Stegostoma tigrinum: one gene and its partners. The protein of the gene in region 2 purifies or fractionates together with the protein of the main gene of each other region. This does not show direct contact. Links are inferred from orthologs where the notes say so. Each region holds a gene or a part of one and is shown on either strand. Other genes may lie near its edges. The genes, in order: tdrd3, fxr1 and orc2.

Region 1 (10,211 bases), on a different chromosome or scaffold from region 2:
CACCTCCCTGATTTCCATACCGACATCATCTTTCTCTTTGATGAATACAAATGAAAAGCACTCAGCTAAAGCTTCAGCTCTGTCTTCCGGCTCCACGCACACTGCCACATTGTTGCCTTATGGACATTACTCGTTCCCCGCTTAGTCTGTTTTCCTAAATATATTTACAACACACTTTTGGATTTTCCATAATATGGGCTGTCAGCATTTCTCCATGTTGTGTCTTAACTCCCTTATTTCTTTTTTAAGTAATACCCTGCACTTTCTATACTTCTCTGGGCATCCGCCATTCTGAGCCCTCAACATTTGCCATCAGCTTCCTTTATTTTCCTTATTCAGTCCTTATGTCTGTTGACACCCAGGGTTATCTGGGCTTTTTGGTCCTGCGCTTTGCCTTTGTGGAAATATGTTGGCCCTGCACTCTCACTATTACCCTTTTGAATAACTTCCACATGTCTAGTGTGGATTTTCTAGCAAGTAGCTGGTGCCAGACCACTTTGGCCGAAGCCTTTCTTATTTCTTTCTTATCAAGTTAAAATTGATTTTTACCCAATTCTGTGTCATTATTCCTGATCTTTAACCATAATTTTTACCCTAAATCTTACTGAATTATGGTCACTATCGACAAGATGCTACCCAACTGACACATCTGCTATTGCCCTGCTTTGGTTGCTAAAATTTGTCCAGCATCTCTCCATGTCTTGTAGAACATTCTACGAGCTTCTTAAGAAAGCTCTTTGAGGTACATTTTAAGAATTTCACCCACTAAGCCTTTCACACTTTGTCTGTCCTACTTATTATTGGGGAAATTGAAATCCCCTAATATTATTATCCTATTAATTTTACACTTCTCAAATTTGTTGACATCTGTCTTTCCAGCAGAAACCTACATTAATGGGGGAGGGAGAAACTACAATCTTACAGAGATAAACCTGACTGAAATAAGGTTTAGAGATGATGGGAACTGCAGATGCTGGAAATTCCAAGATAATAAAATGTGAGGCTGGATGAACACAGCAGGCCAAGCAGCATCTCAGGAGCACAAAAGCTGACGTTTCAGGCCTAGACCCTTCATCAGAGAGGGGGATGGGGGGAGGGAACTGGAATAAATAGGGAGAGAGGGGGAGGCGGACCGAAGATGGAGAGTAAAGAAGATAGGTGGAGAGGGTGTAGGTGGGGAGGTAGGGAGGGGATAGGTCAGTCCAGGGAAGACGGACAGGTCAAAGAGGTGAGATGAGGTTAGTAGGTAGCTGGGGGTGCGGCTTGGGGTGGGAGGAAGGGATGGGTGAGAGGAAGAAGCGGTTAGGGAGGCAGAGACAGGTTGGACTGGTTTTGGGATGCAGTGGGTGGGGGGGAAGAGCTGGGCTGGTTGTGTGGTGCAGTGGGGGGAGGGGATGAACTGGGCTGGTTTAGGGATGCAGTAGGGGAAGGGGAGATTTTGAAACTGGTGAAGTCCACATTGATACCATATGGCTGCAGGGTTCCCAGGCGGAATATGAGTTGCTGTTCCTGCAACCTTCGGGTGGCATCATTGTGGCAGTGCAGGAGGCCCATGATGGACATGTCATCAAGAGAATGGGAGGGGGAGTGGAAATGGTTTGCGACTGGGAGGTGCAGTTGTTTGTTGCGAACTGAGCGGAGGTGTTCTGCAAAGCGGTCCCCAAGCCTCCGCTTGGTTTCCCCAATGTAGAGGAAGCCGCACCGGGTACAGTGGATGCAGTATACCACATTGGCAGATGTGCAGGTGAACCTCTGCTTAATGTGGAATGTCATCTTGGGGCCTGGGATGGGGGTGAGGGAGGAGGTGTGGGGACAAGTGTAGCATTTCCTGCGGTTGCAGGGGAAGGTGCCGGGTGTGGTGGGGTTGGAGGGCAGTGTGGAGCGAACAAGGGAGTCACGGAGAGAGTGGTCTCTCCGGAAAGCAGACAGGGGAGGGGATGGAAAAATGTCTTGGGTGGTGGGGTCGGATTGTAAATGGCGGAAGTGTCGGAGGATAATACGTTGTATCCGGAGGTTGGTAGGGTGGTGTGTGAGAACGAGGGGGATCCTCTTGGGGCGGTTGTGGCGGGGGCGGGGTGTGAGGGATGTGTTGCGGGAAATGCGGGAGACGCGGTCAAGGGCGTTCTCGATCACCGTGGGGGGAAAGTTGCGGTCCTTAAAGAACTTGGACATCTGGGATGTGCGGGAGTGGAATGTCTTATCGTGGGAGCAGATGCGGCGGAGGCGGAGGAATTGGGAATAGGGGATGGAATTTTTGCAGGAGGGTGGGTGGGAGGAGGTGTATTCTAGGTAGCTGTGGGAGTCGGTGGGCTTGAAATGGACATCAGTTACAAGCTGGTTGCCTGAGATGGAGACTGAGAGGTCCAGGAAGGTGAGGGATGTGCTGGAGATGGCCCAGGTGAACTGAAGGTTGGGGTGGAAGGTGTTGGTGAAGTGGATGAACTGTTCGATCTCCTCTGGGGAGCAAGAGGCGGCGCCGATACAGTCATCAATGTACCGGAGGAAGAGGTGGGGTTTGGGGCCTGTGTAGGTGCGGAAGAGGGACTGTTCCACGTAACCTACAAAGAGGCAGGCATAGCTGGGGCCCATGTGGGTGCCCATGGCCACCCCCTTAGTCTGTAGGAAGTGGGAGGAGTCAAAAGAGAAGTTGTTGAGTGTGAGGACGAGTTCAGCTAGGCGAATGAGAGTGTCGGTGGAGGGGGCCTGGTCGGGCCTGCGGGACAGGAAGAAGCAGAGGGCCTTGAGGCCATCTCCATGCGGAATGCAGGTGTACAGGGACTGGACGTCCATGGTGAATATGAGGTGTTGGGGGCCAGGGAATTGGAAGTCCTGGAGGAGGTGGAGGGCGTGGGTGGTGTCACGGACATAGGTGGGGAGTTCCTGGACCAAAGGGGAGAAAATGGAGTCCAGATAGGTGGAGATGAGTTCGGTGGGGCAGGAGCAGGCTGAGACGATGGGTCGGCCAGGGCAGGCAGGTTTGTGGATTTTGGGAAGGAGATAGAAACGGGCCGTGCGGGGTTGGGGAACAATGAGGTTGGAGGCTGTGGGTGGGAGGTCCCCTGAGGTGATGAGGTCATGAATGGTGTTGGATAAGGTTTATTTCTTTGGATACTATATTTGGAATGAACCAAACAATTCCATGATTCTTAGATTGGAAACAGGCCCCCTGGCCCAACAAGTCCACACTGTCCCCTTTTGAAGCATCCAACCCACACCCATCCCCATCACCCCACAACCCACACACCCCTGAACACCACGGGAAATTTAGGATGGCCGATCCACCTAGACTGCACATCTTTGGACTGTGGGAGGAAATCAGAGCACCCAGAGGAAACCCACACAGACGCGAGGAGAATGTGCAAACTCCACACAGACAGTCACCTGAGGCTGGAATCGAACCTGGGTCCCTGGTGCTGTGAGGCTGCAGTGCTAACCACTGAGCCACCATGCCGCATTTAAGGTCCTTAGCATCTGAGGTCCTTCTGCCGAAGTATAATGATGTGGAGATGCCAGTGATGAACTCGGGTGAACACGTTCAGAAATCACACAACACCAGGCTATAGTCCAACTGGTTTATTTGAAAACAAGCTTTCAGAGTGTCTCTCCTTCTTCAGGTGTGAGTGAGATAGGTACTACCAGACACAGAGATAGTAGGAACTGCTGATGCTGGAGTCTGAGATAACAAGGTGTGGAGCTGGATGAACACAGTGGGCCAGGCAGCATCAGAGTAGCAGGGAAGGTGACATTTCAGGTCTGGACTCTTCTTTTCTGAAGAAGGGTACAGACCTGAAATGTCAGCTTTCCTGCTCTGATGTTGCCTGATCTTAGTATCAGACACAGAATTTGTAAGTAAAAGATCAAAGGGTCACCGCACTGATCAGGATGTATTAAACAAACCTGAGGTGCTGTTAAATCTTTAATCAGTTAGAAGGCTTTAATTGATTAATATGTATATGTAAATCCCAAAATTCCTTTAAAATTACTGTCTTGAGAGAACTAAAGGTTTTATCAGTGTAAAGAAGTGACATTTTGGGTCAGACAATGCATATCAGGTGTGAGGCTTTGTTTAGAATCTGTGTTTTGGTTTGGAGAATCTCTTCCTGCCTCCTTGACCTGTCCATCCTCCCTGGACTGACCTATCCCCTCCCCACCTATACTCTCCTCTATCCATCTTTGGTCCGCCTCCCCCTCTCTCCCTATTTATTCCAGAACCGTCTCCCCATCCCCCTCTCTGATGAAGGGTCTAGGCCCGAAACATCAGCTTTTGTGCTCCTGAGATGCTGCTTGGCCTGCTGTGTTCATCCAGCTCCACACTTTATTATCTTGGATTCTACAGCATCTGCAGTTCCCATTATCACTCTCACATGCATACACTCTTTCTCTGTCTCTCTCTTCCCCCAACACACACACATACACTCACACAAATGCATGCACGCGCGCACACACACACACACACACACACAAACGTGAATCTATGGGGTGAATTTCTATTTTGAGATACATTCTATTTACTTCAAAAAGCATACAATTTATAGTCAGTCAATATAGCATTTTACAAATTCTTACTTTTGAAGCAAAACCAGTCTGACTCCAAACCAAAACACAAACAGATTTTAAACAAAGCCTCACACCTAACATGCATTGTCTGACCTAAAATGTCACCTCTTCTTTACACTGATAAAACCCTTAGCTCTCTCAGGACAGTGACTTGAAAGGAATTTTGGGATTTACATATACATATTACTCAATTAAAATCTTCTAACTAATTAAAGATTTAACAGCATCACAGGTTTGTTGAATACATCCTGATCAGTGGTCTGGCCCTTTGATCTTTTACTTACAAATTCTGTGTCTGACACTATCTACCTCACTTACACCTGAAGGAGAGACGCTCCGAAAACTTGTGATATCAAATCAACCTGTTGGACTATAACCTGGTGTTGTGCGACGTCTCACAAAAGTATATCAAGGGTTCGTTAAGTTCTCAGACCCCTCCTTGCTTTGAATTGAATGTAAATAGCTCGTGCATAAGTAGAAAAGGTTTTTTTTTGCAACTGCCGTGAAGCTGTGAGGAATGCCAAATTCCAGTGTTCTTTTCTCTCTGCAAAGATTTGTGCGGAGCTGGAGGAACACAACAGGTCAGGCAGCATCAGAGAAGCAGGAGAGTCAACGTTTGGGCTCGGGACCCTTCAGAGACCTGCTTTTGTACCTCTGAATATACACAGATGTACTTTAAAGAGTAAAGTATATTGTTGCGATTTTAATAATTCATTCTTAGCATTTTACTTTTGGAAAAGCATGTGCCGATACTGTCTGGAGGTAAAAGAACACACCGGGATCGCTTACGTTTCCCATATTACCTCTGCCGCTGATTTGTTGCAACAATCAAACTCCGCCTCTCTGCCGTGGTCACTCATCGCTAGTTTCTGAATGGCGGCTGGTGACAGAGCTTTCTCACCGATTGGTCAGATGAACTGTCAATCGCCGCCCGAGACGTGGCCGTTGGAATTGCGTGTGTGACGCCATCGCGTGGAGGAGGGGCGGCGGTGGCTGTGGCCGCTGCTGGAAGTGACCGCGCTTAGGCCCGAGCGTGGAGCCGCCGGCCTATACTATGAGGTTCACCTTCCTCTCACTGGGGAGCTGCCGTCGTGATTCGCAGCTCGGTTTCCTTTCGTGCGTCGGCCGCGCCGTGTTCGCTAGTAGGGCGCCCGCGTGAAGATGGCGGACACGGGCCTGGCTCTGGCCCAGGAAGGCTGGTGAGTGAAGCTTGAGGGCGAGCAGCCGGAGGCCTGAGTGGGAGCAGGGGGACGGCCAGTGGCTCAGGCTGTCACGCTTACGGACTCCGCTGTCAGTGCATTGAAGTTAGAACTCCTTGTACTAAACTTGGCTACCATTGGGTAGACTAGGCCTCATTCCAAATGTGTTAGTATGGATTTGTGATCGTCTTTTATGCTCCCTTAGTTTTAAAATAAATATTTTGGAATTTCGATGATTAATATGGGTTGTGTAGTTGTCAACTTGGCAGAAAGACGATAGTGTCCTTCAGGGTGATCCGGTTATGAGTTGAAGGATTTGATTTTCTGTTTCTAGGACGTATATTGCTTTTTAGTAAAACATTTTAAGGCAAGCTCACTTGGCCACAGTTATGTCATCACTGAGACTACCTCCGCTTCTGGAATATGGATAGAAGATTGGCTGTCTGGCAGGAAGCAGAGAGTGGGGATAAGGGGGTGTTTCTCAGGACGGCAACTGATGATAAGTGGTGTTCTGCAAGCTTCAGTTCCGGGGCCACAACTTTTCACTTTATACATTAATGATCTAGATGAAGGAACTGTGGAAATTCTGGCTAAGTTGGCAGACGATACAAAGATCGATGGAGGGACAGGTAGTATCGAGGTGGAGAGGCTGCTGAAGCATTTGGGCAGGTAGGAGAGTGGGTAAAGAAGTGACAGATGGAGTATAATGTGGGAAAGTGAGGCCATGCATTTGGTAAGAAGAATAAAAGCATGAACTATTTTCTAAATGGGGAGAAAATCCGGAAGTCTGAAGTGCATAGGGACTTGGGAGTTCTAGTCCAGGATTCTCTCAAGGTAAACTTGCAGGTTGAGTCAGTAATCAGGAAGGTAAATGCAATGTTGGTGTTTATTTTGAGGACTTGAATATTAAAGCAGGGATGTACTACTGAGGCTTTATAAGGCTCTGGTTAGGCCACTAGGTGTTCTTGTGCATCAGTCAATGAAAGTAAGCATGCAGGTACAGCAGGCAGTGAAGAAAGCTAATAGCATGCTGGCCCTCATAACAAGAGGAATTGAGTATAGGAGCAAAGAGGTCCTTTAGCTGTACAGGGCCCTGGTGAGACCGCACCTGGAGTATTGAGTGCAGTTTTGGTCTCCAAATTTGAGGAAGGACATTCTTGCTATTGAGGGAGTGCAGCGTAGGTTCACGATGTCAATTCCCGGAATGGCGGGGCTATCATGTGTTGAAAGATTGGAGCGATTGGGCTTGTATACACTTGAATTTAGAAGGATGAGAGGGGATCTGAATGAGACATATAAGATTATTAAGGGATTGGACACTGTGGAGGCAGGAAGCATGTTTCCGCTGATGGGTGAGTCCAGCACCAGGGGACACAGTTTAAAAATAAAGGGTAAGCATTTAGAACAGAGTTGAGGTAAAAACTTCTTCACCCAGAGAGTGGTGGATATATGGAATGCTCTGCCCCAGAAGGCAGTGGAGGCCAACTGTCTGGATACTTTCAAGAAAGAGATGGACAGAGCTCTTAAAGACAGTGGAATCAAGGGTTATGGGGATAAGGCAGGAACAGGATACTGATTGTGGATGATCAGCCATGATCATAATGAATGGTGGTGCTGGCTCGAAGGGCCAAATGGCCTACTCCAGCACCTATTGTCTATTGTCCATTTGGAGTATTGTGTGCAGGTTTGGGCCCCAAATCTCCAGGGTCCTAGCCCTGGACCGGGTTCAGAGGAGGTTCACAAGAATGGGGCCAGGAATGAAAAGCTTAACATATGACAAATGTTTGAGGACTCTGGGACTGTCCTCATTGGAGTTTAGAAGGATGAAGGGGGAATGAACTGAAACTTTCAGAATACTGAATGGCCTGGACAAAGTGGATGTTGGGAAGATGTTTCCATTGGTAGCAGAGTCTAGGATCTGAGGGCACAGCCTTAATGTAAAGGTATAACCTTTTTGGAACAGAGATAAGGAGAAACCTTTTCAGCCACAGTGTGGTGAATCTATGGAATTTACTGTTACAGAAGGCTGTGGAGGCCAGGCCATTGTGCACATTTAAGGCTGAGATAGATACGTTCTTGATGATCAAAGGGATCAAGGGTTACAGGGAGAAAGCAGGAGAATGGGTTGAGTAACTTATCAGCCATGGTCTAATTTCTGCTCCTCTGCCTTATGGTCTTATTGCATTACTTCACTCATCTCAACGGATCAAATCCTGAAGCTGTTATTTGCACCTTGATTTCTTGTTCAGCTATTTCAATGTGCTAGGGTTGGTCTATATATTACCTTCTGTAAATGTAACGTCACTCAAAGCTCACTTTTCTTGTCTTAACTTTAAATCACTCTTACCTATTCTCCAGTAATGGCTGAAGTCCTCTTTGCAGCAGCTCCTGTAACATATCAACTTTAAAATTCCTATTCTTAAATCTTCCCATGACCACATACTTTAACTCTGACCTTTTGTGAATTCACAATCAAAATTGGTGGTCATGCCTTCAATTTCCAAGCTCTGCAATTGTTTTCCCACATCACTTTGCCTTTCCACCTCAATTTTCTCCTTTAGGATTCTTCTTAACTTACGTCCTTGACCAAGCATTTGATCATCTGACCTGATGTTTCCTTACGTGACTTGATGTCATACTTTGTTTTATGTTGCTTTTGTGAAGTGCCTTGGGATGTTTGATTCCATGGAAACTGTTGTTTCTTCCCTACCAGCAGGCCATTCAAAGAGCTAAAGAAAACCAGTGATTTCTTTGCCTATTTGCAAAGCCCTGAATTTCCCTACCTGCACTTTTTGAGACATTTTGCCCTTTTAAAATTTAAAATTAGGCTTTTTTTTGCCACCAGTTCTAAAGCTGCATCCTGATTGTCAATGATGCACTACTGCAAAAACAATGTGCTTTGGGGTGGCTTCCCATAACTAGCATGTCTGAGAAAAGCAACTTTTTTTATTTTTGCACACATTTGTCGATAACTTGAACTGCAACAAAAAGATTAAACAATCCTTAACTAGTGTTTGTGAAGATGCTCGTTTTTAATGTTTATCTGCGCAGTGATTTGGAGTTGTGACGTTTCTAACGGTTAAGACCAGGCATTTGTTTTCCTTGATGCTCTGCAGTTACGCTTCAGAATTTTTGAAAGTAAGTATAAACAAATAATGGAGATAACATTCAACCATTGACAGGGAGCAAAAGTAACGGTTTCAGTCTTCCCAATATTCTGTTGGTCAAATTTTATGCCCATCCCATACTTAATGTTGGATAAGCAGTATGAAAATCAGCAAGTACGGTTGAGAGAAATGGTGAGCAAGAGGGGACTGTCATCAGCATACAAGTAGTATATGATCGTCACTGATGAGCAACATTAGATTTTATTTTAAATTTGTTCATGGGATGTGGACATTGCTGTCTAAGTCAGCATTTATTGTTCTGGTGGTAAGCTGCCTTCTTGAACTGCAGCAGTCCTCCCGCAATAATTTTGGGTTGGGAGTTCCAGGATTTTAACCTAGCAACAATAAAGGAATGGTGATGTTATTTCAAAGCTGGCTGGTGTGTGGCTTCAAGGAAATCTTGCAGGTTCTGTGTTCCCATGCATCTGCTGCATTTGTCCTTTCTGATTAAATGGCAGAGGATTCAAGAATGAAAGGTTTTGTGGAAAGGCTTGTTGTTTACAACAGTGCATCTTGTAGATGGTAATGCTGGTGCTCCTGACTGGTGGATGTGGTCCCAGTCAAGTGGGTGGCTTAAATGATTTTGGAGCTGTACGAATCCAGCCAAGTAGGGAGTATTCTATGATAATGGGAACTGCAGATGCTGGAGAATCCAAAATAATGAAGTGCGAAGCTGAATGAACACAGCCGGTCAAGCAGCATCTCGGGAGCACAAAAGCTGACGTTTCGGGCCTAGTCCCTTCATCAGAGAGGGGGATGGGGTGAGGGTTCTGGAATAAATAGGGAGAGAGGGGGAGGCGGACCGGAGATGGAGAGGAGAGTATAGGTGGGGAGGCAGGGAGGGGATAGGTCAGTCCGGGGAAGATGGACCCGTCTTCCCCGGACTGACCTATTCCCTCCCTACCTCCCCACCTATACTTTCCTCTCCATCTCCGGTCCGCCTCCCCCTCTCTCCCTATTTATTCCAGAACCCTCACCCCATCCCCCTCTCTGATGAAGGGTCTAGGCCTGAAACGTCAGCTTTTGTGCTCCTGAGATGCTGCTTGACCGGCTGTGTTCATCCAGCTTCACACTTTATTATCTGGAGAGTATTCTATCCCACTTCTGACTTTCGCTTTGTAAATTTGGGCAGGCACTGGAGATGATGTGTGACAAGTTACTCACTGCAGAATGTCTTGCCTGTGACCTGCTGTTGTGGCCACAGTATTTATATGCCTGGTCCAGTTCAGTTTCTGTTTGGAGGTGCACCCCCCCCCCACCACCACCAACTCAAAAGGAGGGAAGTTCA
Region 2 (10,383 bases):
ATACACTGTTTGTAAAATGCTCCACCCACTGATACTTAAATTATATCATGAAGTGAGTGATTGAAGTCCAGGACTGCAACTTCTTTTGTGGCGATTTCTACATACTGACTTAAAAAGCTCTCCTAGGTGCATTTTAAGAATTTCATTCCCCTAAACCTTTCACACTATCACCATCTCAGTTAATGTTGGGAAAACTGGCATCTCCTATCACTATGTTAATTAGTTTAGCAGCCTTCAGAAATCTGTCTATATATCTGCTCTATTTGCGACTATTAGGGGGCCTATATTGCAATCCTGACAATACAATTGTTTTAAACTAGCAATGGAGACAGTACAGAAGAGATTACTTTGAGATGAAAGGTGAACTTATCAGGAATAGCTGACCAGGTGAGGTATTTATTCATTACAGTTTAGAAGAACGAGGCATGATTTTAGGATTATAAAGTCTAAGAGCAGAAGGAGGCTGCTGACCTGATAATCCTCTACTCCATTTTCTGTTTGTTCCTTATAACCTTTGATTCTCTAACTATTTAAGTATACTCAAGGTCGAAATTTTTAAAGATCCAGCCTCAATAGCCCTCTGTCGTGAAGAATTCCACAGATTCACCAACCACTGAGAAGAAATTTTCTCATTTGATTTAAAATGTGCAATCGCTTATTCTGAGATTATGCCCTCCGGTCTTAAGACTCTCCCACAAGAGAGGAAAAACAACTCCATCACATCAATGTTGTAGTCATCCAAGAATCTTGTATTTTTCAATAAGTTGATCTCATTTTTCTAAATTCCAATGGAATACAGGCCTAACATACTCAACATTTCCTCAGACCCAGTATCAGCTTAGTGAACCTTCTCTGAACTGCTTCCAATGCCAGTATATTTGTCCATAGAAAAGGGACACAACATTGTTCAGTTTTCTGGCTGTGGTCCGAATAGTGCCTTTGTACAGTAATAGTCTATTCTACTATGCTATTTCCTTTGTTTCAAAGGCCAATATTCCATTTGCTTTCCTGTTAACTGCTGAAGATGGACGCTAGCTTTCTGTTATTCATGGTTGAGAACTCCCAGATCCCTGTTCTGCAGAACATTATCCATCTCCACTGTTCTTCCCATCAGAGAACAGAGCATTACATTTCACCACAAGATATTCCATTTGCTCAATTTTTGCCCACTCATGTAACTTGTTTACATTCATCTGAAGGCTCTGTTATTGTCACCTTCCCACCTATTCTTGTCATCTGCAAACTTTACAATAGTGATTCACTTTTCTCATCCAAGTCACGAAAGTACACTGTAAGCAACTGTGGCCCCAGCACGGTGATCCCTATGGCCTCACACAAGTGATCATCCTAAAAATGTCCCCTTTATCTTAACTGTCTTCCATCAGTTAACCACTCCTCCATCCATGCCAATATATTATGGCAACATCACAGATTTTATCTAATGCGGTAGCCTAATGTTTGGTATCTTAAACACCTTCTGAAAATCCAGATATAATATCACTGCTTCCCCTTTAGCTATGCTGCTTGTTAAATTCCTTAAATTCTTAAAGGAAGTGTCATGCCTGAACTGCCTCTGCTTGACCATATTATGTATTTCTAAATGCTCTGCTAGTAAATCTTTCATAATATTATTGAAAGATACAAGACTCTGAAGACACAGTAGGAACTGCAGAAGCTTTCCTGCTCCTATGATGCTGCTTGGCCTGCTGTGTTCATCAAGCTCTACACCTTGTTATCTCAGATTCTGAAGAGGCTTGCCAGGGTAAATGTTGAGAAGAGATTTCTTTTAGTGGGGGGGGATCTTTAACTAGAGGGCATGGTTATAGATTTCTCATTTTCAACTGAGACACAAAGGAGTTTCTTCTCCCAGACAACTGTGAATATCCAGAATTTTCTGGAGGCTACATCAGTAAAAGTACTTAAAGGTGAGATAGATAGCAACAATCAACCAGTAAGAAACTCCCTGACACCATATGCAATATTATCTCAACCGAAAACAAACAAGTTATCATTCTCCTTCATCCCCAAAATGCTTCAAGATATCTACATGACTTCAGTTGTGGCCACTGTGCATCCCCACTTGTATGGACTGATTTCAGCTGTCCAGACTCCAAGTTCTTGAATTTCCTCCTTACACCTCCACCTCACTTTTCACCTTTAGCATATTCCTTAAAACCGATCTCTGTTTAAGTTGTATTATCTTAATACATGCCTCAGTATCATACTTTGTTTTATAATGCTTGTGTGATATGTCTTGTGCTTTAAAAAGGGAACAGAATAAATATTCAAGTTGTTGTTGTGATGATCTGAGTTCTTTCCGACAATTTCTGGATTTCATAGTCATAACAGAAAAGACTGAGGTTCCAATTAAGATAGAACTTCTCGTCCAAGGGAGGCAAAATCATAAACCAGCCTTATTATGGTTTGAAAATAACAACTACTATCAGACCTAATAAAAAATCCAAAATATACAAGCTTTCATAATCCAAAACATCTGCCGAAAAGTAAAAAAAAAAGACACTTAACCAAGAGCCAGACTGAAAACTTTGATCCTATCCTTTCCGTTCTTAAAAACTTAAAACGATCATGAATGGGATCAGGGTCTAGGCCCGAAGCGACAGCCTTGCTGCTTCCCTCTGATGCTGCTTGGGCCTGCTATGTTATCCAGCTCTACACCTTGTTATCTCATGAATGGGACCGTCATCTTTGCCATCGTCATAACGTGGTTAAAACCTTAAGAACGTATTTATTCAAAGTAGCTTCGAAAATATTCGTCATCTGTCGATAATATTCACGCTTACATCATTTTACACTATTTTAAAGCAAAAATTTAACGTCAAGTTCTCCCGCGCCCAGGTTCATACTTCGCCTGTTTCTACTGCGTTCAAATTCAATAGATTAAGATGCATTGTGTTAAGACAGTTGAGGTTTGAAACGCGTCAAAAGAATTCGAGATCTAATAAAACCTAGAGGAAATAAACCTTTTCAACGCATTTTCACCACTAAGCAAAGAAACATGTTCGATATTTCTTTGTGCAATTATTTTAACTGATCATTTACACACATTAAGCAACCCCTTTTCAAAGTAACACGCATATAGACTTTTCGTCATTTTAACTTTCCTCTGCACTTTTATGGTAAAAATAACATACCTCCGGTCAAGCGGCGTCAACATGCGTCCTTGTTTAAAAATAACTTGAAATTAGACTCCAAGCGGTTTTCTAAACTTGATAAAACATGACTGACAAGTAACAGCCGGTGAGGTATGTACTCCAATGACGTACTTAAAACAGTTGGTAAACGTAAAAGGTTTTTAAAACTATCTTTCTATACACAAAGGGCAACAGAAATAAATGGGAGAACCGTCAAAATAGTTGATTTTTAAACAGCCATTGAAAGATTATAAGAAAATAACAAAATCCTTCAGTTAATCGTCCATTATAAAATAGCACAATTTTAAAAACAGCTGAAACGTGAAGAAATAAATACGAACGGCAAAGAAATGTGAGAATAAGGCCTAGTGACTTTCTTCAGCAAGGCCTGCAGCTTCGACAGCGACTACAACCTGTCTAGCGCCGAGAGAAAGCCGCGCCGCATCATTTTACACACTCAGCTATATGCAGCCCTTATGTCCGTGTTGAACACAGTCGTAACACTTTTTAAAAACACCAAAACAAGATTTCCGGTAGATGATAAGGGGGCTTACCTTGTAAAATGCTCCATTAGAGCCGCGCACTTCGACCGTCAGCTCTTCCATATTGGAAGCGCAGGGGAGACTGGGATGTGTTTCTAGAATTTGTACACACACAGGAACGAGCGATGGGAGTCAGACACCAAAGCTAATGGATGTCAACATCCCGTCTATGAATCAACTCACTTGCTCTCAGATACTCAGTCTCCTCCTGAATGGTTGCCAGAATTGTCCCACTGGTAAAGGTTTTCATCTCCAAGGACTAATAAATCAACAATTGCGAAGTGTGAAACAGCGTGTAAATCAATTCAACACTACACCTGAAACTGTGATCGCGCAGTCAGATGCATCATTGCGCTTTTAAAAGAAAGTAAGTTGTTCTTACTTACAAAGGAGAATGTCGGATATCAGCAGAACCATCAAAGGAACAAGAGTTATTGTCCCTTTTGAAAAGGTGCAATGATTTAAATGCCGGGTTGGAAAGCTGAAGCAGTTGCCAATTTCACATCCGGACTTAGCATTAATGATCCTAGCCAAGATTCAGCATTGCCTGCCTTCTCACTGTCCTAACTTTGGACGATCAACATTCAATACTGAACTTTCTTGCCTCCTACAACTCTCATCCCTACTCAAAGTAACTGTAAATATCCCGATAGCGTTTATTTTTTAACCTGTATCTAGGTTTGCAAGATTAAACTTCCCTTGATCCTTTATGTCAACACATTACTGCAGCTCACTAATTCACATGAACAGTATATGTGTTCTCTGAATTTATTACTACTCAGAGTTGTAATTTGACATTGGGACGATGAGATAGGATCACAGCAACTAGAATAAGCAAGTAAGCCTATTGTGCCATTCAATGAGATTATTGCTGATTTGTGCCCAAACTCTACATACCTGCCTTTGGCCCACATTCGTTAATACCCTTGTCTCAGAAAAAAACTCTCAAATTTAAAATTAGCATCTGGTTTAGTGTCAAACACCATTTCTGGGAGTTCCAAATATCTATCACCTTTACACACTGAAGTGCTGCTTAACATCTCTCCTGAATGGTCTGGCCCTAATTTTTAGACTGTGCCCTTGTTTCTTGAATTCTTTATCTACCCTGTCTTTTCCTATTAATAGCTTGAAGACTTCAACCAAATCATCCATACCCTTCTACATGCTGGAGAAAATATACAATTTATATAGCCTTATGTAATCTCTCCTCAAAACTCAACCCCTGACATTCAGATATAATTCTTATAAATCTCTGTTGTACTCCCTCCAAGGCCAATTTATTCTTCCTCAGGTGTAGTGCCCAGATCTGCTCACTGTACTCCAGGTGGAGTCTCAACAGGGTCACAGTGCGAGGCTTTTGCAAATTGTGAGCCACCATAAGATTTTGCTTTCTTTAGGAATAACAGTTAGTCCAGTTCCTTTTACTTATACCATGAACTATGTAGTTTGTTAGAAATTTGTATTTTTAAAGCATAATTGGAATTTCTGGCTGGAAGGTCATTTCTGAGAACTGAGCCAGCGACTTGAGGTTGCAATTGAAATGATAGCCAAGTAGGAGCTAATTGGTAGCATCGAGTTTTAATTATTTTGCTCCTGAAGGACACAGAACCTCTGGTATTTATGACAAGCATGCAGAACTCTCCAAAAAACCTTTACGTTCAGCAGAAATAAACAGAGCATAAAGGAACTCTTGCTGATTCAATGTGCAAGTTATTTAAAAGGGACAGAAACCTAAAAGCAGTGTGAATAGTTCGAGCACAGGAAACAGCTGGATGGGTTGTTCTGAGGAAGGGTCACTAGACCCGAAACATTAACTCTGACTTTTTTCTTCACACCTTTTCTGATGAAGGGTCCAGGCCCGAAACGTCAGCTTTTATGCTCCTAAGATGCTGTTTGGCCTGCTGTGTTCATCCAGCCCCACACTTTTTTATCTTGGATTCTCCAGCATCTGCAGTTCTTATTATCTCTGCTGCCAGATGCAAACTTCTGTTTTTGTTCCAGGTTTATAGCATCCACAGTTCTTTTGGTTTTCAAAGAGCTGGATGGGTTTGCTGCAAGAAATATGAGCCCTGGCTGCTATTGGGTGGTCAGGTTAAAATTGAGTTGAAACTGTTACAAAATAGCACTGTTTTGACCAAAGGGAGAGAGAAATCGTAGAACTGCATCTTTTTGGTATTAGCACCTTTACAGTAATCAAATGAAAGTGGGCTGCCAATGAATGTGACTCATGGATGAAATCAATGGATAATGAGAGATCTTACAGAGCGCAGAGGTTAAAGGACTTTGATACTGCATATGGTGCTACATTTATGCAGAGTGTGATGCTGAAAAATTTGAGAGCTTTTTTATTGTATCAATTATGTAATTTTCCAAATGTAATTTATTGTTTCTATTGAAATACTAATTATCTGTTCATGCATATTAATTTGTGTTGATTTTGGGTTAGAATGTTACAGTATGGGTTTAAAAATTGAATTCATTATTCACTTTTATCCATTCATTATTCAAACTATCCATTATCTCCTTCTGATGAGGGGCATCATTTGGAGATTCGTTTCTTTTAGTCATTAATCTCTATGGGGATCATAGTACTCCTATAGCAAGCAAATCAATGACAGATATTTGGTGATGATTGTTTTGTAAAGCAGAACTACATTTAAAAATGTGCAGATGGGGCTGTTGTATGTGTTGACACAATAATAATGTAGAACTTTCCACTGTCTTGAATGGTATGGTTAATGTTGGGTACATTGATAAAGAACGAGACTGAAAAAAGTCAGATTCACAACTTCAAGAAAACATTTCCAATTTTATCTTTAGGATTTAAATTGCAAAGTTTGAATCTCACTAATGAGTGGCAACTACCTTATTTTCATGCATTTTCATCTTATTAACAGCCAATCTCACCTTATTTCTATACAGTTCTCCATTGTCCTCTCCTGTCCCAAGAAAGGAGATGGTATCAATTCCCAACATAAAAGACAAACCAGTTACCTGGTAGCCACAGTTTATCACTTGTTTCTCTGGGTCTGCACCCATCTCTGCCATCACTACCATTTCCCTGCAAACTCCACAGACACCATCCTCTTCCATACTTCCTCCACGCAAAAAGCATTGCCAACCACTAGCCTTACCTCACCATTATGGGTTTTTGCTGACCAACTCCACAAAGCACTCACTTTCGATATCAGGGACACATTTGCCGTGCATGCTTCTATCAGACTGCTTTGTGCACAAAGACACATACACATTTCATTCATCTACACACAATATATCTTAGGTCTCTTAGCTTACTTGTTTTAGCATTTATTCACATTTCATGAACTCGGAGGCTGTCAGCCTCTTTGACTTGCATTGCTTTCTGGCACATTGGCTCTTCAGTCCTAAATTACAGGCTAGTAACCTCTGTCACTTACACTGCTTTTAATCAGAAGGAAAGGCATGAAGCATGTCACCATTCTACTGGACAATTAAGGGGATGGGGTAGATATGTTGCTGAATGAAAGCATTCTATGCGTATACCATACATACAGTATGTGCAAATGGCTCATGTGGCAAACACACTACTTGGGCTGCAGGCAAATGCCATGTCTGAAAGTCAAAGGAAGCAGTCCTTAGTGGATGAATGACAGTAGGTAACCCTTGAACTGAGGTGGACCTTAACTGATTGTAATGGCACACAATGATTGATGATGGTCCCCCTTTGTTCCAATAAGGATTGATTTTCAGACTGGGGATTTGCTTGTATCCAGGTAAGCTACTTTCACGTGGTGCAGGTGTGACACTTACACAACATGCTGCCATACAGCAACATGACTAGCAGGACGGACCAAATATAGGTGGTGGCATAGCGCCATCCAGTCAGGTAGGAGTCCTGAACATTGAAGTCTCATGACATCAGGTCAAATATGGGCAAGGAAACCTAATTAGCAAGTATTGTGCAGCCTCAGTTGATGAAACAGTACTCCACCATGTTGAACAGCACTTAGAGGAACTCTCGAGGGCTTAGAATGTCCCACTGGAACCTAGAACGGCCCTCCGCACTGTCCACAACTTGACCCAGCTTCTTATCATCCGCAAACTTGCTAATCCACCCTTTCACTCCTTCATTCAAATCATTTACAAAAATCACAAATAGAAGAGGATCCAGGAAAGATCCGTGTGGTACACCACTTGAAACTGAGCACCATATTGAATATTTTCCGTCCACTACCATCCTTTGTCTTCTAAGGGTCAGCCAATTCTGAATCCAATCTGCCATATTTCCCCCTATCCCATGCCTCCTTACTTTCTGCATGAGCCTACCATGGGGAACCTTATCAAATGTCTTACTTAAATCCATATATACCACACCCACTGCTCTACCTTCAAGTGTTTGGTCACCTCTTCAAAGAATTCAATAAGGTTTGTGAGGTATGATCTACCCCTCACAAATCCATGCTGACGATCACGAATCAAACTATGCCATTCCAAGTGATCATAAATCCTCCCTCTTAAAGCCCTTTCCAATAATTTGCCCACCACTGACATAAGACTAACTGGCCTGCAATTTCCGGGGTTATCCCCATTGACTTTTTTGAACAAGGGAATGACATTTGCCTCTCTCCAATCTTCCGGCAACTATACCCGTGGACAGTGAGGATGAATAGATCATTGCCAAAGGACCTATGATCTCTTCCCTCATTTCCCATAGAATCCTTGGATAAATCCCATCAGGCCCGGGGGATTTATCTATCTTCAACTTCCTCACAATTCCTGGCACATCTTCCTTACTAACATCCACCTCCTCTAGCCTACCAGCCTGTTTCACACCGTCCTCCCCTACAACTAGGTCCCTCTCAGTTGTGAATACCGAAGAAAAGTATTCATTAAGGACCTCTCCTATCTCTTTAGGCTCCATGCACAAATTCCCGGTACAATCCTTGATCGGCCCTACCCTTTCTCTGGTCATTCTCTTATTCCTCACATACGTGTAAAAAGCCTTGGAATTTTCCTCGATCCTATCTGCCAAGGTTTTCTCATACCCCCTTAAAGCTCTTCTAAGCTCTTTCTTCAGCTCCTTCCTGTATAACTTGTCTCCCTCCAGAGCCTTTTTCCGTTCCTTGTTTCCTAAACCTTATATAAGCATCCTTCTTCCTCTTAACCAGTTGTTTGACCTCTCTTGAGAACCAAGGCTCCCTCACTCGACCACATAAGCACATGCAGTATGCATTCCTTAAACAATCTCCACATTTCTATAGTGCTCTTCCTTGACAGCATCTGTTCCCAATTTATGTCACCCAGTTCTTGCCTAATAGGATTGTAATTACCTTTCCCCCAATTATAAACATTACCCTGCTGTATGTATCTAAGCTTTTCCATGACTATTGTAAAAGTAACAGAGTTATGATTGTTATGCCAAAACGCTGTCCTACCAACAGGTCTAACACTTGGCCTGGTTCATTACCAAGCACCAAATCCAAAGTGGTCTCTCCTTGTGTTGGTCTATCTACATGCTGTGTCAGGAATCTTCCTGAATGCACTGGACAAAATTTGCTCCATCTGAACTATTACAACTAAAATGTTTCCAATCAATATTTGGAAAGTTGAAGTCACCCATGACTACAACCCTGTGACTTATGCACCTTTCCAGTATCTGCCTCCCAATCTGCTCCTCTACTTCTCTGCAACTATTAGGAGGTCTGTAAAAAAAAACCCAACAAAGTCACTGCTCCTTTCTAGTTCTGGATTTCAACCCAACCTGACTCTGTAGACATATCATTCTCAAACTGCCTCTCAGTAGCTGCTATACTAACCCTGACTAGCAATGCCACTCCACCACCTCTTCTTCCACTCTCCCTATTTCTCTCAAAGCATCTAAATCCCATTTCTTTTTATCTGGTGTTCTTACCAAATAATTCACCTCGCTCAATTTTTTGTTGATTTGATAAGTCCCACTAAACCTTGCCTTTACAAGTTTACCGACCACTGGGAGTAACATTAACACTTGATCTCTACTAGCAAAATTGTAAATTCTTGATTTCTTGTCTGCTTCCTGTTTCAGCACACGCTGTGCTACTTTTAAATGCTGCTTAGCCAGCTCACCCGTTCTTTTTAATTTCAGTCTAGAAGTTGACATAGTCCAAAGATGTAGTGTCTGAACTCTGACTCATCAATGACTCCTTCATACATTTCGGTAGTCCTCTTACCTCATATCCAAAAATAATTAAGATGGACTGAATTTTGTTGATTCATTAGGTATACCCCTATTGCAAAAAGTATAAATGGAATTCCATTACGCGAGTCTTCTGGATAATCTTGCCTATAAACCCTCAACATGATTTTTAAAATTTGATACAACTGTTCTGATGCTCCCTGTGATTCTGGATGGTATGCAGTAGATTTGAATTATTTTATTCCTAAGCCAACTATAACTTCTTTGAATAATTTTGATGTAAAATTTTTACCCTTGATCTGATTGTATTTCTGTGGCTAGTCCATAGCTATTGAAAAAAAAATTGAGTAACTCTTCTACAACCTTTTTAACCATGACAGTGTTGAATGGAATGGCCTCTAGAAATCTAGCAGACCCATCCATTATGGTCAACAAATACTGATTCCCACTTTTCGTTTTAGGTAGGGGTCGTATGCAATCAATTAAGACTCTTGTAAAAGGCTCCTCAAATGCTGGAATAGGTATTAATGGTGCT
Region 3 (9,356 bases), on a different chromosome or scaffold from region 2:
CTAGGATCAGAGGGAACAGTCTCAGAATTAAGGAGTGCAATTTAAGACTGAGATGGGGAGGAATTTTTTTTCACTCAGAGGGTTGAACATCTTTCGTACTTCTTGCCACAGACACCTTTGAGGGACAGAGTCCTGTGTATACTGAAAGCTGAGATGGATAGATTCTTGATCAGTAGGGGAATCACGGGTTATGGAAAAAGGATAGGAAAGTAGATGTGAACAGTGTCAGATCAGCCATGATCTTGTTAAATGGTGGAGCTGGCTGAAGGGGCCAAATGGTCTACTCCTGTTCCTATAACCTACAGTCTTATTGTCCATGCTCTGTTCTTCAAAAACTCCCATGGATGATACATGGGTCAGAGTTGGATGTCTGCTGATTGCAAGGTGCCAGGATTGATCCTGTGAACCCGCCTGGTTTATTACTCTTTAACCTCAGGGCAGAGAGTAAATGGATGATCTGCTTCATCCTTACCTTAGATGGGGTCTTGCACTGGTTTGATTGTCCTGCAAAAACAACAAAACAAATTCCTTCAACATCACACAATCACAAAAGGCTGGGAAGAAGCAGCTCCCATCAGATGTCTGAAACAAGACTATGCTGTGATTGGGTGATGGCCCACAGAGCCTCAGCGTGGCTTCATTCCCATTAAGCAACTTCTTGGCAAATCAGAGACCATCCAATCTCACATTCAGCATAGTTGCTGTGGTGTCTCAGCTGGGAGGGAGCAACTGGGGCTAAAACTGATCTCAGTGCACTGAGTCAGGACAGATATAAAAGAGCCAACACCAGCCCGTGGTTGGGCACTGGATCACAGTCCTGTGATCCTGAAGGCAGATGGGTGCTATGGCATTGGCAGTACCCATTCCAGCAAAGGAATAGTTTATTACAATGCAGACACTTCCCTAGTTACAGGATCAGTACAGGCAGCTTGCTTCCTTTTGTGATGTTTGCTTGGATCTGAGGGCTTACCGTTATCCTTGATCTGATCTGCTGTCAGCTGCTGGTCAGGTAAACAGAACGTTACACTTTTTCTCGGAGTCTGGGCCAGTTCGGAGGCTGAGAGTCAAAACAGGATAAAGTAAACATTTTAAATATCAATGGTCTCATCTGCCATGCAACCTCCAGGGAGAGTAGTCGTTCCTGTCCCCAGCAGCCCCCAACAACGCCCTCAGCCCAGCCATCCTCTCCCAGGACACACGCACGCACAACCCCAGAATTGTGTGCTTGATGAGGCTGTGTAGAGTGAGCTTAGCTCTGTATCAAAGCCCATGCTGATTTGAAAATGTTCTCCGATAACTCTCAACGTCAAAAGATGGGAATGTCCCTTTGACACATAGACAGTTTGAGGTCAACAAAATGACACTGTTGATCTTTTGGCAATAGATTCACAGTTCAGTTAGTCAGCTGCTGCTCTGGTGATTCTCACTTCACAGCTCTCCCTGTACCTATGAACAGCACCCCACACCCACCCAAAATCATGAACCGCAGTCACTGCACCTGCATCGGGTCTCTACAGCTACATAAGTGCATCGCCGCCTCCTGTTTCTGAGGCCCACGTCGCTACCTACGAACCACATTTCTCACTTCGTCTCCAAACGCTGCACAGTTACCCATCCCTAACAAGACGCGGTCCCCAAAACTCACCGAGCTTTGCCATCTTGTCTGCTCTTTTGGCGGTTTGAAAGGTGAAAAGATCTCGGCCAGCTGCAGACACCCCATCATTCAAGTCACCATGGCAACCTGCAACTACAAGGACAGTTCGAGTTGCTAAAGCAATTGCACCATCTTCACAACCGCAGCAGCAGCACAACTGTGCAATTTCAGCTCGAGGCTCCCGACGTTTATATCAAATTGTGGAGCTTCCTTACTCCACAAGTGAATACCTGGGGCCTGACACTCCAGTAATAGGTTCTGGACCTGGTCTTGTTTCACAACCTTGAGTATCAGCATCTTTTTTTTTGATGCAGAAGATATAAATGTGTATAGGAGAATGTAGTATCACCTGAGAGAGATCCAGGGTTAGGCATACCTTGAGTAATCACAGAGACACCATTGGCTACACTCTCTTAGCAAGATAGAGTACGGCCTGCAGTATAGCCAGTACCTGAGTCACCTGCTCCAAGCACCTCCACGTAATCACGCTCATTAAAGACTTCCAAACTCTCCTGAGACTGCTCTGTCTTCTCCCATTTCTGGGAAGCCCGCTTCACGCTTAGCAATGTCCCAGGCACATTGTTCTTCTGATTAATTCCTGTAAAGTAAGTCATCGTGAAACCCATTAAAACAGTAGGATGCCAGAAATCATTTTCCAACAAAATGTTTCAGTCAGTCCTCAGGTGGTTGAAAGGATCAGGGAAGAACAATATGCAGAAGAGTATAAAAACCGAAGGAACTGCAGGTGCTGTAAATCAGGAACAAAAACAGAGGTTGCTGGAAAAGCTCAGCAGGTCTGGCAGCACTGGTGGAGGAGAAAACAGAGTGAATGCTTCGGGTCGGGTAACCCTTCCTCAGAACTCGGGTCACTGGACCCGAAACGTTAACTTTGGTTTCTCCTCCACAGATGCTGCCAGACCTGCTGAGCTTTTCCAGCATCTTTTTTTTTGATGCAGAAGATATAAATGTGTATAGAACATGGTATCACTTGAGAGAGATCCAGGCTTAGGCATACCTTAACAAGGTATTGGAGAGTGGGAAAGGATTTAATACAGAGGGGAGTTGGGGGAGGAATCTTTGCAGGGGTGTGGGTTGACATTTTGGGGTAGGATTTGGAGAAAAGGCAGGGGTGTGGGTTGAGATTCTGGGGTAAGATTTGGAGGGAAAGCAGGGGTGTGGGTTGAGATTCTGCGGTAGGATTTGGGGGGGAAGGCAGGGGGTGTGGGATGAGATTCTGGGGTAGGATTTGGGGGGGAAGGCAGGGGGTGTGGGATGAGATTCTGGGGTAGGATTTGGGGGGGAAGGCAGGGGGTGTGGGATGAGATTCTGGGGTAGGATTTGGGGGGGAAGGCAGGGGGTGTGGGATGAGATTCTGGGGTAGGATTTGGGGGGGAAGGCAGGGGATGTGGGATGAGATTCTGGGGTAGGATTTGGGGGGGAAGGCAGGGGGTGTGGGATGAGATTCTGGGGTAGGATTTGGGGGGGAAGGCAGGGGGTGTGGGATGAGATTCTGGGGTAGGATTTGGGGGGGAAGGCAGGGGGTGTGGGATGAGATTCTGGGGTAGGATTTGGGGGGGAAGGCAGGGGGTGTGGGATGAGATTCTGGGGTAGGATTTGGGGGTGTGGGATGAGATTCTGGGGTAGGATTTGGGGGGGGGAAGGCAGGGGGTGTGGGATGAGATTCTGGGGTAGGATTTGGGGGGGGAAGGCAGGGGGTGTGGGATGAGATTCTGGGGTAGGATTTGGGGGGGAAGGCAGGGGGTGTGGGATGAGATTCTGGGGTAGGATTTGGGGGTGTGGGATGAGATTCTGGGGTAGGATTTGGGGGGGGGGAAGGCAGGGGGTGTGGGATGAGATTCTGGGGTAGGATTTGGGGGGGGAAGGCAGGGGGTGTGGGATGAGATTCTGGGGTAGGATTTGGGGGGGGAAGGCAGGGGGTGTGGGTGAGATTCTGGGGAAGGATTTGGGGGGGAAGGCAGGGGGTGTGGGATGAGATTCTGGGGAAGGATTTGGGGGGGGAAGGCAGGGGGTGTGGGATGAGATTCTGGGGAAGGATTTGGGGGGGGAAGGCAGGGGGTGTGGGATGAGATTCTGGGGTAGGATTTGGGGGGGGAAGGCAGGGGGTGTGGGATGAGATTCTGGGGAAGGACTTAGGGGGAAGGCGGGGGGGAGGGGAAAATGATGGGGGGGGAGGGTACAAATTTTTGGAAAGATCCCCCAGTCTTCCCTCCTTCTCTAACGCCTGCTTCCCCGTATCTCTCCCGGGGCTCACCGGACAGTTTCTCGATGATGTGCTCCGCCACCTCCTCATCGCCAATGAAACGCACATCCCCGACCTTCATCGTTCAACCGCCAAGCCACTAACCGCGGGCCAAAGGTCAACAGCAACCAATCCGCATCCGGTAACGCATCGTCCAATCACAGCCCGGATCCAAACAACCAATCACGGAGGGCCGACCCGGAAAGGGGCGTGGTTTACCGCTGTGGGGGCGTTGTTAAAAGTGGGCGGGGTTGCTGGAAGGGTGGGGCCAGGGAGCGGAGTGAGACCGATCAGAAGAAAATGCTGGCAATATGCAGCAGACCAGGCAGCTTCTGTGAAAACAGTTAATGTTTCCGGCCCACTTGATAAATGTGAAATCATAGAGGGTTTGATAAGGGCTGGTCTGTGCAGTAAAATGATAGGAGGCAGGAAAATGGGTTCTCTAGTCTGGGGAGATTAAATGCATGTTTGGACTACAGTTTTACAGAATGAATTTTGCAGAATGATGGAGAGAATTTGAGGAGTCAGGACCAACTTTCCACAGACACCTGATTTTTTTTATTGCCCTTGTTACTACTATGTTGATATAACTTTCCCAGTGAACTCAGCAATGCAGATTCCCAAGATGGTGATGCCAGTGTCACTGAAAGTCAGGGAGAAGTAGTTTGATACTCTGATAATTAATTGTCACTTCTGTGGAGCAAATGTTACTTAATACTTATCAGCCCGAGCCTGAATATTGTCCAGGTCTTGTTGCAAATGAACATGTGACTGCTTCAGTGTCTGAGAAGTTGCCAATGATGCTGGACATAGTGCAATCATTAGCAAACAAACATTCCCATTTCTGACATGATAATGGATGTGAGGTCATTGCTGAGGCAGATGGAGATGTTTGGGCCTACAAAACTATCCTGAGGAACTATATAGTGATGTCCTGAAGCTGAGATGCTTGACTTCCAACAACTACAGTCATCTTCCTTTGTGCCAGGTATGACTCCAGACAGTGGAGAGCTTTCCTCCTGATTTCTTGTGCTGTTTCAAACCATATAAAGCAAAATGTTTCCTTGATTATCAAAGGCGGATACTGTCATCTCTGGAGGGAGGCACAGTGATTAGCATTGTTGCCCCACAGTGCCAGGGCTTTGATTCATTTCCAGCCTAGGTGACTGTCTGTGTGGAGTTTGCACATTGTCCCTGTGTTTATGTGGGTTTCTGCTGGTTTCCTCCCACGGTCCAAAGATGTGCAGGTTAGGTGGATTAGCTAAGTCAAAAGTTGCCCTGTAATGCCCAGGGATATACAGGTTAGCTGGTTAGCCAAAGGAAATGCAGTTACAGGGATTGGGGGTGTGAGAGGGGAGGGGTTGCTGCGTCTGTGTGGGATGCTGTTAGGATGGTTGGTACAGATTTGATGGGTCAACTGGTGTCTTTCTGCACTGTAGGCATTCCATAAGTCCTTTTGCTCATGTTTGGACTATGCTTATTGTGATGTCAGGAGCTGAGTGGTTCTGACAGACACCAAACTGATCAAATGCTACATGCGGTACTGTTGTTAACACTTTCAGCACATTGCTGATGATTGAGACCAGTGTGATTGGCCAGATTGTACTCATACATTTTTTTTGTGACCAGGAAGCATTGAAGCATTTTTCCAACAATTCAAAATGTTGCAATCCTCGAACTGAATGCCTCACACAGGACAAATGCTGATCCAGGTTTTTGCTGGAGGAATGTAATTACTTTCTTCTGTGTTATAAAAAAGTACGTTAACCAACTCTTCAGTCTCACTGCCTGTGGCAGAGTTGTTTTGACATAGTCATACAAGCAACATACTGCTGAGTATGTGACTCTTCCCACATCTTAGTTTGTGGGGGTATATTTGAATTTGGCAGGAAGCAGCAGTTCCATAGTAACTTTGCCCCCTCACGTTGGCATTGAGTAAGCAGAAAATTTCACTCTCTCAGCACACTTAGACCTGTGCTTTTCATCAAGGACGGAGTAATATGTTGGCAGTTGCCAATGAAATTGAAGTCAGGTGTATATATAGGCCAGAACACTGTTCTCACTCCTGCTGTGTCTCAGGTGGCCTGTGACATAGGGAGTGATCGTGCCCTGAGGGACGAGGTGCCCTCACGGAAAGGGAGGGGTAACCCCTGTGTGCCAACATGGATGGTATGCATTGGGCACATAGGACACTAGTGCCATGGCTCACTTGCAACCACTCTGTTTTCACCCATGCAGATAGATCTGAGTGAACTTGATGACTAGTGGAGCTGTGTCAGTAGGACACTCCATTCATAGAAAGCAGAATGGCTAGAGAAGTCTATTCAGTTCATCGTGTCCATACTGGTTCTCTGATCATCTAATGCCAATCCTCTGCATTTTACTTGTAACCCTGTGCATTATTCCTTTTCAGGTAGTGATCTAATTTTAGAACCTGCCTCCACCATATTCTGCAGACAGCACATTCCAGATCCTAACAGCTCGCTGTAAAATGTATTTTTCCCCCCTCATATTGCCATTGTTACTTTTGCCAATTACTTCAGAAATTTGTGCCCCCTCAATTTTTTTTTTGTTCACATATGGGATGTGGGTGTCAATAGCTGAGCCAGCATTTATTGCCCAGCCCAAGCTGCCCTCAAAGGTGCTGGTGAGCTGACTTCTCGAAGCACTGCAATCCATGTGCTGTAATTAGATCCAATATGCTGTTAGACAGAGAATTCCAGGAAGTAGACCCAGCAACATAAAAGGACTTCCGATAAAACTTGAAGTCAGGATGGAGTGAGTAGCTTGAAGGGAACTTACAGGTGCTGATGTCCCCATGTAGCTACTGCCTTTGTCCTTCTAGGTGGTAGTGGTTGCTAGCTTGGGAGGTGCTATCTAAGGATCGCTGGTGAATTTCTGCAGTGCATCTTGGTATATAGTACACACTGCTGCTACTGAACATTGATGGTAGAAGGACTGGATGCTTGTGAATGTGGTACCAAGCAAGCATGCTGCTTTGTCCAACTAGAGTGTGGTTGGAGCTGCATTCATCCAGGCAAGTGGGGAGATCTTTCATCACTCTCCTGACTTGCGTCATGCAGATGGTGGACAGGCTTTAACGTGTCTCGGGATGAGTTACTCTCAGCAAGATGCCCAACATCTGAACTGCTCCCTTTAACTACTGTATATACATGGCTAGTCCAGTTCAGTTTCTGATCAATGGTAACTCCGCGAATGTTGATAGTTCGAGTTTGTGATGGTAATGCAACTGAATGTCAAGGGGCTATGCTTGGATTGTCTCTTATTGGAGATGATCATTGCCTAGAATCTGTATGGAGTAAACATTACTTGCCACATATCAGAACAAGCCTGGGATAATGTACAGGTCTTGTTGCATTTGAAAATGGACTGCTTCAGTATCTGTCATGAATGGTGCTGAATATTGTGCAATTATCAGTGAACATCTCATTTCTGACCTTCTGATGAAGGGGAGAACATTGATAAAGCACCTGAAGATGGCTGGCTATAGGACACTACCCTGAGGAACTCCTGCAAAGGTATCCTGGAGCTGAGATGACTGACTTCGAACAAAGACAATAATCCTTCTTCTAGCTATGGCTCCAACAAGTGGAATTTTCCCCTAGATTCCCATTGACTTGTCTTGCTAGAGGTTCTTGACGTCACACTTGATCAGTTGCAGCCTTGGTGTCATGGGCTGTCACTCAACGTCCCCTCTGAAACTCAGCTCTTTTGTCCATGTTTGAACCAAGACTGTAACAATTTCAGGAGCTAAATGGCCCTGGCAAAACCCAAACCGGGCATCACCCAAAGTGTTATTGCTGAGTAGGTGCTGCTTGGTAGCACTGTAAAATGACACCTTCCATCACTTTACTGATGATCGCAAGAAGATTGATTGGGTGGGATTGGACTTATCCTGCTTGAGTGTACAGGACATCAATCTTAATCCTTTCCCAAGTGGGAATAGTTTTCCATATTTATGGTTGTCTGGATTCATGTTTTTCTTTTAGATGAAACTTTCATCAAATCATTCCTCGGCCTTCCCTTCTTCAAGGAAAACAGGGTCAACCTCTCCCCTCTATTGAACTTAAGTTCATGATCCTTTGGACCATTCGCACAAATCTTTTCTGTACTCTCTCTGATACCATCCCATACCTCCAAATGTGTGGTGTCCAGAACTGGATGCAGTAACCTAGGTGAGGCCAAACCAGTGCTTACACAAGTTTAACAATCTCTTTGCTCCATATGTAGCCAAGGTAATATAGTCTTCATTAACCAAGAGGAGGATTTTTTTTTTTTAAACTCACTGGAATGGTGAATGTTGGAATTCTCTACCACAGAGGGCTGCGAAAGCTCAGTCTTTGAGTACGTTTAAGGTGGAGATTGATAGATTTCTGATTATCAATGGAGTGCAGAGTTATGGGGATTAGGTGGGTGAAAGGCATTGAAATGTTCGATCAGCCATGATCATATTGAATGGTGGGTCGAGCCAAATGGCTGAATGGACTCCTATTCCTATGAAATAAAACAGCCAACAGGTAAATGGAAAACATTAGGTGAGAGACACTAAAGATGATGAGATTGATTTAAAATTATAGAAGATTCCTCTTACTCTAATTACTCATTATCTAATCAACACTGTTCCAACTGAAATAAACACAGACACAACTAAATGTCCAGAAACAGCACAGTATTTATTCCAGGTACTGAGATTACAGATTAATAATTTCTCTGCATTGCAGACTGATCTGAATGTTTATACACCTGTATTTACACATTTAAAATCTTTAATCTGTGACAGGTATTTACAAGATCGAGATCACATTCACATCTCTTACATTAACAGTATAGTTCATTTTTAATTTAAAAAAAACTTTTTGTTCAAAGAACGACAGATTTACATGCATCGACTCAACCACCAATACCTGACTTCCCGCCAGATGGCACTTTCACTTCTCTGAACCGTCAGTTCAGAGACCTGTCTCTGAGCATCTGCCAGGAACACAGGAAACATTCAGGTCTGGTTTTAATCTACAGGCCCTTAGGAGAGTAGGAAGTCTGGTGTGGGTCTGCTGCTTATCACTTCAGCTAAAATGGAGGCCTTAAGGAAGGCAGGCAACTTGTCAGCCCTCCCCCATGAAGTTAGCAGTTACACAGACGCACACTGCAGTCACGTCCACCTCTCTAATCTCACTGGATTCACCCTTGCGCTTCACTCGAACATTCTTTGGGCAAAATAGGTTGATTTCTGTTCACGAGCACCGAGACTGAGGACCAAACACGCGCGCGCACACACACAAAGCAGATTAAATTTCCACAGAGAACAAGACTCCACAGCTCTCTGCACTTGTGTGGAATTGGGAGCAGAGGGGATGGATGGGGCGAGAGGTAATGGGGCTCTGTTAACATGGAAAACCATCCAGTTAACCTCCATTTTACTGG

What was found.
Region 1: the proteins of fxr1 (region 2) and tdrd3 purify together in Homo sapiens (affinity purification with mass spectrometry; 3 studies listed by BioGRID and IntAct, with this or other methods). This does not show direct contact. The link is inferred for Stegostoma tigrinum from reciprocal best matches to the Homo sapiens genes FXR1 and TDRD3.
Region 3: the proteins of fxr1 (region 2) and orc2 purify together in Homo sapiens (affinity purification with mass spectrometry; 4 studies listed by BioGRID and IntAct, with this or other methods). This does not show direct contact. The link is inferred for Stegostoma tigrinum from reciprocal best matches to the Homo sapiens genes FXR1 and ORC2.

The regions. Positions count from the first base shown.
Region 1 is NC_081359.1:3,342,488-3,352,698, reverse strand, and holds the start of tdrd3 (tudor domain-containing protein 3), read left to right. Parts: upstream 1-5,515; 5' UTR 5,516-5,718; coding exon 5,719-5,756; intron 5,757-10,211. UniProt on the Homo sapiens protein: Scaffolding protein that specifically recognizes and binds dimethylarginine-containing proteins. Plays a role in the regulation of translation of target mRNAs by binding Arg/Gly-rich motifs (GAR) in dimethylarginine-containing proteins.
Region 2 is NC_081367.1:47,592,851-47,603,233, forward strand, and holds the start of fxr1 (RNA-binding protein FXR1), read right to left. Parts: upstream 3,951-10,383; 5' UTR 3,758-3,950; coding exon 3,707-3,757; intron 1-3,706. UniProt on the Homo sapiens protein: mRNA-binding protein that acts as a regulator of mRNAs translation and/or stability, and which is required for various processes, such as neurogenesis, muscle development and spermatogenesis.
Region 3 is NC_081360.1:19,755,696-19,765,051, reverse strand, and holds the start of orc2 (origin recognition complex subunit 2), read right to left. Parts: upstream 4,038-9,356; 5' UTR 3,997-4,037; coding exon 3,927-3,996; intron 2,281-3,926; coding exon of another isoform or gene 2,253-2,280; coding exon 2,106-2,252; intron 1,748-2,105; coding exon 1,646-1,747; intron 1,058-1,645; coding exon 971-1,057; intron 505-970; coding exon 473-504; intron 1-472. UniProt on the Homo sapiens protein: Component of the origin recognition complex (ORC) that binds origins of replication. DNA-binding is ATP-dependent. The specific DNA sequences that define origins of replication have not been identified yet.